Linked DNA regions of Mus musculus: region 1 is reported to be linked to region 2. Evidence: microRNA targets listed by miRTarBase, many of them from high-throughput screens and not tested one by one. Region 2 holds a microRNA gene; the other region holds the end of a gene's coding sequence.

Evidence for each region. Region 2 holds the annotated microRNA mmu-miR-181a-5p (AACAUUCAACGCUGUCGGUGAGU, at 1,648-1,670, shown strand). A microRNA usually pairs through its seed, bases 2 to 8, with sites in the 3' UTR of a target mRNA and lowers its output. Matches are read on the target gene's strand: a 7mer-m8 pairs with bases 2 to 8, a 7mer-A1 pairs with bases 2 to 7 and ends in A, and an 8mer does both.
Region 1: miRTarBase lists Sv2b as a target of mmu-miR-181a-5p. Seed matches in the 3' UTR shown: 7mer-m8 at 1,777-1,783 and 7mer-A1 at 2,335-2,341.

Annotation. Positions count from the first base shown.
Region 1 is chr7:75,112,989-75,118,055 of GRCm38, reverse strand. Sv2b (synaptic vesicle glycoprotein 2 b) reads left to right here. Exons shown (of 13, transcript NM_153579.4): 13 at 278-3,162. The coding sequence ends at 461. Among named protein-coding and RNA genes, the nearest start is that of 4930533N22Rik, 85 kb to the right of the region's middle.
Region 2 is chr1:137,964,821-137,969,895 of GRCm38, forward strand. Mir181a-1 (microRNA 181a-1) reads left to right here and starts at 1,635; the gene lies at 1,635-1,721. It overlaps Mir181b-1 (microRNA 181b-1), which reads left to right and starts at 1,819; the gene lies at 1,819-1,898.

The sequences.
Region 1 (5,067 bases), not on the chromosome of region 2:
TACTTGTAACTATTTTAATTAGAGATATGCTTGGGAAGATAAGGAAAGAGGCTTGAAGGCAATTCAGAATGTTAATAGCAGCTATTAGTCCAGGTATCCCTACATCTTAATTTCATTGAGTATTTCCAGTGTTGGCTAAAATGAAATCGCTGTTTTTATATTTAGATAAGAAATTGAGTCCCACACCTCCTCCTCTTACAACAAGGAAAGAACATACAGCCGTTCACCTAGCGAAGCCCAGAATTTCAGAATCCTCTCCTGTCCTCTTCTTTTGCAGGGCCACGGCCTTCGGCATCCTCAACGGACTGTGCAAGTTTGGGGCCATCCTGGGAAACACTATCTTTGCTTCTTTTGTTGGGATAACCAAAGTGGTCCCCATCCTTCTGGCTGCTGCTTCTCTGGTTGGAGGTGGCCTGATTGCCCTTCGATTGCCAGAGACTCGAGAGCAAGTCCTGATGTGACCAACCCACCGGGAAAAGACAGATGGGAAGATCTTTTTCAGGACACTCCAGCACAGCCACGCCTCCTGCCTCTCACTGTCTACAGGATACCGCGGACAGCACGGAAGGAGAAATGGACTTTGTGATCCCTAGTTTAGGACCCACTGCAGTTGTTAATACATTTTTAACTCAGGTGATTGACTAGGGGTGCCCAGAACCATCCTTGGGATCCCAGAGCTGTGTGCTTAGCTTCAGGTCTCTTCATCCCAGGCAGGGAGAGGACACTCCAGTAAACACACACAGTAAGCAAGGAGTATATGCTCCTCTAAATGAGGTGCAAAAAACTATTTGCATTTCGGACTGAAGTTGAGGACTAGAACCACTTAAGCTCCTCCATGCAGCTTCTGGGAGCCCAGTGACCTAGCAGATTGTCATAGTGGGGAGTGGGGTCAACACATACTGGGCTCAGAGAGCAGACTACGTATTTGCATTTGAAAGTATCACCTATCATATTTTCCTTTTGAAAACTGGCACAGTAGCCTTGAGGATACTCTGATATAGAAAAACCCAACCTTTAAGCAAAATGTATATAGACGGACTTTTCTTCCCAAGCATCCTGAACTTTGCATAACGAAGAGGTGATACACTAAGAACTATATTTATTATGGTTTTGCTCTTGTCAGAGCAACGTGAGGATGGGTATTATGTAAACTAAGTTTGTATATAAGAGTTTTGAGGTTTTATTCCCACAAATGGTGGCTGCTAAGGTTGCCAACATTTTAGCCATATTTGGGGAGGACTCTCCATTCAAGGTCGCAGGAAACTTGGTGCGAATGGGTAGCATCTTGCTTGCTGTCCGGAGGATGTACTTGGCAAGCCACGTGCCATTTCCTTTACCTGGGAACTTTTCTTCAAATTGGTAGGGCAGGTACTTCTCTCTCCTGTGTTGCTCATTTGTGAAACTCAGGACCATAGGTTGTTTGATGCTGTTTACCCAGAGAGAACAGGAAGAAATGAAATGAAAATGTTTTTATTTTTATTATTGGCTGCTTGCACTCCTTTTCTTTAGAGAGAACCCCCTCACAGATAACTGACTAAGGATGGGGAAAGGTAACCACAGTTCTTCAAAATGTGAGTTCTTCCTGTTTGATTTCAAAGAAAAACACAATGTACATTTATTATAGTGTTTAGGACCTATGAGAAATTTATGCTCTGTGTGTTGGCTCGGGGCGTTCGAAACAGGCCATTAGCATGCACATTAGGAAATAAAAGGCATGAGATACATTCGTTTCTTCATTGCTCCAAGGAAGCTTTTTCTGAGATCCAGGTTGGAACTTGAATGTGGAAAGGGGAGAGGGGGTCAGGGCTGCTCTGGCAGGTGCCAGCAGTCTGGAGGCTAGGCTGAGGGAGTGGCTTTTGTTCATCAGTACCCTCTGCAATGGTAGAGACAGAGCTAGGAGTTCCTGCCACCTGAGCTGCTCTTACCTGGGCCAGCAGAACGACTGACTGACTGACTGTAAGAACTAGTTTGCTCACGTTATTTGCAGCACACACACAAGCTGTGATGTGCTAATCTCTACCTATTAGAAATCTTCCCAAATCTAAACCAAACTAATGACTACATTGAGTGTTTTCTCAGTTCTGTGGAAATACTTAGATGCCAGGCCAGTTCAAGCCATCTTTGCCTAGTCCTCTGGAATATAAGTTGGCAGTGGGAAAGAGTGAAATCTTTGAGAACTTCCCATTTTCAAGTGTGGCTAACATGTTTACTCTGCTTCTCTGGTCCCCACCTCTTTATTTACACCACCATTACTTTCTGTCCAGGGAAGGAAGATGCATCAGGTCTGATGTGATAACCCCCATTACTCCAAATATAAATATATATAAATATACAGAATGTATTAATGCTTCTCTCGGTGTTTTATAGGAATTAACTGATAACGCTCTGTTGATAACGAGAAACTTTCTGTAATATAGCTGTGATGTCCTTTTCCATTTTCTTGTGATATGGAATGCATTGCTTAGGATCATGAGAGAATTGTATAAATCTGTGGTTATGTATCCCTCATAACAGTGTTCTTTAATGGGATAATAGACCTCAGTGCTCAGCTACCACTCAAGAAATGTACGAGACAGTTAGAATCCACATTTACAGTCAGATATATCTTGTAAACTTTAAATCTGACTAATTTTTAAAGCACAGGAGTGGCTGCAGTTATTTTAGGCTAACTGTTCTTGGTTTCTAAGCTCTGTCTTCTACATTACATTTATGGCTCCTTAACCTGTTTGCCTAACCAACCAAGGGCAATTCCCGTCCATCCATCACACGGGATGTGAGAAGGATGCAGCCATGGTCTGCAGCCTCTCTCATGAAGGGTTATCTGGCCATGGTACTTGGCTGCTTCATAACTTGCTGTCACTCCTGATGAGATAAGTGTGTCTTTAAAAATAGTCCCCGTGTCAGGTCACTGGGGTGTAATGTACAACATCCTTAGCCATCCATTTTTTCTTTTCTTTTTTTTTGCCCTGAGAGACTCCCAATGGCATCTATAGAGGACTAAAGAAGAGAGCCGTTCCCTCACTGAGTCAGACTGTTCACAGTTCATTATGTATTTTATGATGGCTTGTTTGGGAGCCGATACTTTCAGCAGTCTCAACTGTGTTGTGGGATCTCCTGATGCTGGTTTCTGAGCTTTTGTTTTATTAAAACTGATTAGTGAAAGAGGTGTCCTGGCTCTGAAATTTGTAGCACGTGAGCTTGAGATTACATAATAATCCACTCTTTGGGTTCCCTGGGTATTGGCTCATGACAAAAGAACGAAAATAACCACGAGTGAATCTTTAGGAACCGAGGTTAGAGATCATGTTACCTCACTCATGTCTCTTCTGCATTCCTAATGTGCTGGAATCCCTTCTTCTAACTCTCTTCTTTCATACGCAGACTTTGAATCATTTGGCCCAGGTACCCATGTGCTAGGACTGTATAATAAGGTCTAGAATGATGCTGCCTCCTTTTGTGGACTAACCCTCCTAGTTGAACCAGGCTTCTTCATATTTGCTCTATTAGAGGCCCCTTTCAGTTATAAACATGAATATCTTTGCTCTTCTTTGCTGTAGAGCATGCTGGGAAATATATTTACTGGATACATAACCATCATTTCTTCAAAGTGGAGTTCTTGGTACTGAAAGAAAATAGACCAACGAATCATTCCTAAGATTTTTTTTTGTTCATTAGAACCACCTGGAATGGAGTCTGGGGCAGTATCTCAGTGAGGTGCTTACTTGACAAGCATGAGGCCCTGAGTTCTATCCCCAGGACCCAACTAAGCTGGATGAAGTGGCCTTCTCCTACTTCTCCTAATCCCACTACTGGGAGATGGAGACAGGAGATCCCTGGTGTTGATGGTTAGCCAGGCTAGTCTAGTTGTCAAGTTTCTGGTGATGAAGAGACTCACCTCAAGGACGAGGGGAACAGTGCTTAGAGAGCGACAGCAGAGGTTGTCCTCTGTGCATGTGGACACTCATGTGCCTGTGCACCCCCACAGACACCCACATGGCTCTGAATGGACTGCCTGGCCCCGTCCCCAGTGATTCTGATTTAGTATGTATGGGACCGGTATGAGAATTAGCATTTTCAGCAAACGTGTACACTGCATGGTTGGTATTAGTCACTCAAATCATATTTGGAGACGCACAGACAACCTGCTTATACTTAGGCACGTTGATTTGTTGGGGCAGGAGTCGGGTAGCAGAGTTCTTTTGCTTTAGTATCAGGTCAGCCAGAATCTCATTCAAACCCATGAGAAGTAAGAACATTAAAAAGCACATTTCAAAGGTATTGAGTAGTGGCAGTCATCAATAGCTCAATGGTGTCAGTGGTGACATTTTCATCCCTAAAGATCACGGTTTCCCCCGGGCCTTGACCTTTAGGCCATATCTGGTGGTCCAGTTCTGCCTCGCCCTAGATGCACAGGGGTACATTTCACCTGGAATTGCTGATGTCTGCCTCGACTATTTCCACATGGTATGCGTGTGGTGACTGTGTTTAATAGACTTTTGCAGACAAAGATGCCATTGGCATATTATTACTCCCAGGGATCTATTATGAGAGTTTGACTCTAAAAGCTTTTCCTTACCTGGTGACTGTGACAGAGTGAGGTGGAACATGGCCAGCCGACCATCAACTGACCTTGCTTGGTGATGTTCTTGACAAAGACAGAAAGATTTCTCCTTTAGAGATAAGGCAGGATAGGGCAACTTCCTCCATGCAGACCTCACGGGACATAGTTTACAGATGCCTCCCCCAACCTCCCGTTCTTGCTCTTGTGTATGTACCTGATCCTATAAGCATTTTCCCCAAGTTAAAATGCTGGGCTACTATGGGTAGCTTTGTCATCTTTGGACCTAGCCCCAGAAACATTTGCAAATCAATCACACAGCACCTTTGAATTCAAGCAAGCTTAAAGCACATTTTGTTTAATTTGCAGAGGCATGGCGAAGAATTTATAAGCCTGGCTCTTGTGCGGCAGGGAGGCTTCCCCAAAGATTAATGACAGAATGAAACACAGACTAGAGCTGTCCCCAGATGCTAAATGGAAGAATGAAAGTTGTTAGTTATTGTAAGTTA
Region 2 (5,075 bases):
CGTAATTTTATTCTAAGAATTTGAGAAATTTGGACTTATATTTTCTACAGAGAATTTTAGAAGGTTCTGGAAACCCCTCACATTGCGGTGCTTTGCTATTAATTGTGATTCGGATGGAAATTGCTTGATCGTAGTTCCAATTTTGTATATTGAGATAAGGCAATGATCATGGCTTAGAGTCTCAGCTCAGCAGCCTTGAAAAAATGATATCAAAAGCAATGACAGGTATGTATAGAAGCAATGGGATGCTGGCCTGAATATGATAGTGCAGTGGTCAAGCAAGGGAACATGAGCAACATGCATTCTGGTGAAACTGATAACACAGATGGTCCCAGGAAGACTTGCTTTCCTTCCACAAGAGACAGCCCTCTGCAGGAAAGCTATCTCAAAGGAAGCCACACAGGACTATTCAGATTCATCAGTTTTATGTCTTGTAACTATCTGAAGTCTGAATGCATGCCATCAGCAGATCGTTACCTTATCTACCTCAAAATACCAGCCAGAGACACTTGTCCTGTAATCTCTTCGTGTACAAGATAATAAATGATTACAGGTTTAGCATACAATATTCTAAGTAAATAAAATGAATATGTATAAAAATTTGGACTGAATGGTTCACCAATATTTTATTAATAGTTACACACACACACACACACACACACACACACACACACACACACACACACATATATATATATATATATATATATATATATATATATATATATATATACTTATTAAAGCCACTTAAGAGTCTACATAAGTATAATGTAGTAACTTTCTACCCTAGTTTTGAGGAGTACAAAGGGATTTTTGTTTAAGTTGATATTTGAAATCAGTTTTGAAGACATGCTCAATAGAGTTCATACTAACTTGTAAATGCACTTCATTTCAAGAACACCTAGGAAATGGATAGAAGTTACTGCCAGATCCACTCAATCAAAACAAATAACAATATTAGGATATAATAACCAAAGTGAGAGGAGTTGAATTTCAGGCAGTAGGCATAGGTTGTATTAATTTTCATTGTAGTTTAAAGTCTTGTGTCATAAGCAAAGAAAGATGTGCTAAATTGGTTTGATTCCTTGATTGTTTTAAAAATAAGTATGTTTAAAAGAAATTATACTAATTAAAATGCCTATTGTAAAATAAATGCTTATTCCATGCACATTGTAAACATAGAAGTTCAAAATTGTTAGCAATGTAACTTGAGAAAACCTAAGTGGTTTCTGCTTGATTCTGCATGACCTACATGCGTCCTTGCAGTTCTTATTATATACATACCAATATTTAAATTATGAGATACTTAGATACTATTTGTTTTGCTTTTTGATAGTTCCAATTTTGTTGAATGATAAATTCTCCCTGTCTTTAACAGCCTGTAACTAAGCTCCCCCCAAAAGGACTTTTCTTCCCTTTTGAAAAAAAAAAATCCGATTCTTTTCTTTGACACAGCACAAAGTGGAGGTTTGCCAAGCTCTGGGCTGGAGGAATCCTGCTTCTTTTCTTCTGTACTCTTTTGAAATGGTTTAAAATGTGTGACAGGTTTGGTTAAAGGATTGGGCTTTCCTCTGCCTCCCTCCTGCTCCAGACTCCCACAGATACTGTTTAAATCAGCACATCTCTGCCTCACAGGTTGCTTCAGTGAACATTCAACGCTGTCGGTGAGTTTGGAATTCAAATAAAAACCATCGACCGTTGATTGTACCCTATAGCTAACCATCATCTACTCCATGGCCCTCTGCGTTTGCTGAAGACAGAACCGCAAAGCAGGACCCGACAGGATTCTCCCCGCCTCTTCAGAGACTATGTTTACAAAGGTCACAATCAACATTCATTGCTGTCGGTGGGTTGAACTGTGTAGAAAAGCTCACTGAACAATGAATGCAACTGTGGCCCCGCTTTTTGCTGTCGCAATCAACAGACGTTCCCTCCCTAATAGAGGTCCTGGGGGTATTAACGCCGTTTCTCGGTTTAACTTCTGCTGTCTGAACTTTCAGGTTTGTTTATTCAATTCATATCAAGTCCTATTTCTGTGAGGAAGTCACTAATTTATATAAGAATACTGCTTTTCTATACTCCTGGGGGTTACAAATGGGGCATTTCTTAAAAATGCTAAAGTGTTGGATGCCCAGAATCAACTGTGTAGCCCTGGGTTGGCACGGCTTCCTGCTCTGCTGTGCTGGTGGGAGGAAGAACCAAAGAAATATCTTACTTCCTGCCCCGTTATCCGTCACATTGTTACACAGAAAATAACCATCCCCTCATCTTTCATTAGATTTCTTGGTCAAAATGGGCTTGAAGCAAGAGGGAATTCTTTTGCTCTGCATAAAGAATCGCTGAAATGGCTCTACTCTCTATGGAATTGGTAGGCAGAGGGATAGTACCTCAATAGCCAAGTACTTTGTTATCCAGGGGCTCATTATAATCATGCAATAGATTTGTTTCCCCAGAGAGACCTCAGATTTAAGATTATAGTTCATCATCTTTATTTACCCTCTACTTTCTTCTGAAATGGTAGACTTGATTCCAGGGACTGTCTTCAAGCAAGTGTGTGTGTGTGTGTGTGTGTGTGTGTGTGTGTGTGTGTGTGTGTGTGTTTCCTAACTAGTTTGGCTCTATAATTTCAAAAAGAACATCTGTCATTAAGGTTCATCACCTCCAATAGTAAGTACAGTGGTTGGAGTTAATATTTATAACAGGATGTTCAGCATACAGTGTGTACATGGTACCTAGTACATGGTACCTAATAGATTTTAATTCGTTGGGAAAAAATCTATCAAACATATTGTCCTTTCTCTCTCTTGATCAGTTTATTATGATATACATTCAACTCCCACTACAGAAATCCATTCCTGGGACCTTGCTCTAGTGTTCAGAATATTCATTCCCACAGTATTTTACGTAGTTAGTTCACAAGTGCCTGCCTTGCTTGGGGCATCTCTATCTATCATAACTCCTTTCTCCCACCGTCTGTTTCGTTCCATTTAACGTATGACAAGGCTCTAATCTCAACAAAAAACAAGAAGTTCAAAAAAAAGTTTCTATTCCTGCTTCATTCACTGAACAGCCCCCTTCTTTTTTCTATCTTAAAAAGCTATGAGTTTGGAAACGTCACTTAATTAGTAACCTGCAGAAGAGTCTCTATTTGTGTGTTCTCTCATTACTTCTCTTCAGCCCACAATTTGACATCTTGAAACATTGCTCTCTCCCAATTGTGCAGATTTTTTTTTAATGGAAGCTGGTCTTGGTGAAACCAAATCACCAGTATTATTCCACCCCTGGTAGCAAACTTCCTACTCTTCTTCCATAAAATCATTCCCTTTAAGTTCCATATTTAAGTGGATCCTGCGGCACTGGCCTCTATTTCATTGATTATAAATTCATCCAGGTATATATTTGTTGATAAACTTTTCTAAGCCTGGATAGTATTTCATTTCATATGTGTATTTGTGTGTGTATGTGTGTGTGTGTGTATTCGTATATATGCTAAGGTAATGGAGATATGTAGATATATAGGTATATGTGTGTGTATACATATATGTGTATATATATATGTGTGTGTGTGTGTGTGTATACCTATGAAAACATCCATAATGTCAGAATATTTTCTCTACTCATTCATTGATTGAAGGACACTTTGTTACCAAAGCTTGGCTATTATCAATAATGTTGAAATGAAGAGAGTACAAATACCTCTTTGATATACATATCTCAGTACACACACACACACACACACACACACACAGAGGATGTAGGGATGTGAGGACATATAATTTAGGGATACTATTTTCATTTTTTGGAAGACATGTCATCCGGTTTTCCCAAATAGTTGCACTAATTTACATCTAGCGTTCACAGTGGTTTCCTGTGTCTTTATTCCTTTCCATTACCCTCTTAGCTCTTGTCACTTGCTACCATGTATTTGATAATGTCCATTCTAACAGGGGGTAGGCATAAAATGATTATGATTTCAATGTGCATTTACCTGATGGGGTGACAAAATTTTTCCACATATTTGCACTTTAAATTTTTAGTACATTATTTATTATTATTTATGTTTCTTTAAAACAGTCTGAGTGTTTGATGTGAATGATATAAAAGTCAATTTGTAAAAAAAAATTCTTAAGATTGTACTGTTCATGTATATAGGCTTGAATTCAAAGCATAATAAAATATTAAATTTTAATTACTCATTTGAGTTTGACTTTTTATGAGCTACACGAACTATTATCACATGAATTCACTATGTAATGGTGAGTTTTTAGAAATTTATGAATTACAAGTCTTACTGATTCTTGATGGGAAGATAAGTACAAAATTCATATCCCAGGTTGTACTTCTAAAGACGGCGATTTTTGAGGCAGCATCTCCATGTGTGGACCATATAGGTCTGGTGGCTTACTCTGTTCTCAGCTTCCAGAGTCCTAGCATCACAGCTTTTTATGACATCATGCTTATGATGTAATTATAAGTAATAGTAGGCAGTCATTGTCCAAGTTGTAATGCCAAGATATGATAAGGAATATATACAGGAAAACAAAATGTTCTCAAAATTCAAAGGCATTCTTAGGCTGTTTAGTTATATTTCATAACTCTTTCTTCTTCTTTGGGTAGTTCAAAAAAGAGATCATCTCATTTTCATGTGTTGTTTTCTCTCAAGTACAGTTATTGACAAATTCACTTAGTTAAAATCTCTATTGTTGGGTAGATGTTTTCTGAGAAGTTTTCTCATGGGGCTGGGGAGATGGCTCAGTGATTAAGAACACTGCTATTCTTTCAACAGGACTTGCCTGGAACCCATATCAGGTAGCTCCTAGCAGCCTACAAGTCAAATTCTGGGCAATTGGAGTCCCTTTCTGACCTCCATAAGAACCTGTATATATGTGGCATAGCTCCATAAATACACATACACATGTGCATGTACATACATATACACACACAAAAAGTGTGCTTCTTTTTATATTGCTGTGTTTTGTTTCAAGCCACAATATCTGCCTCTTTGCTGTCCTGAACACTAAAAACTTTGGTTGAAAAAGAAAGAAGGAAAGAAAGAAAGAAAGAAAGAAAGAAAG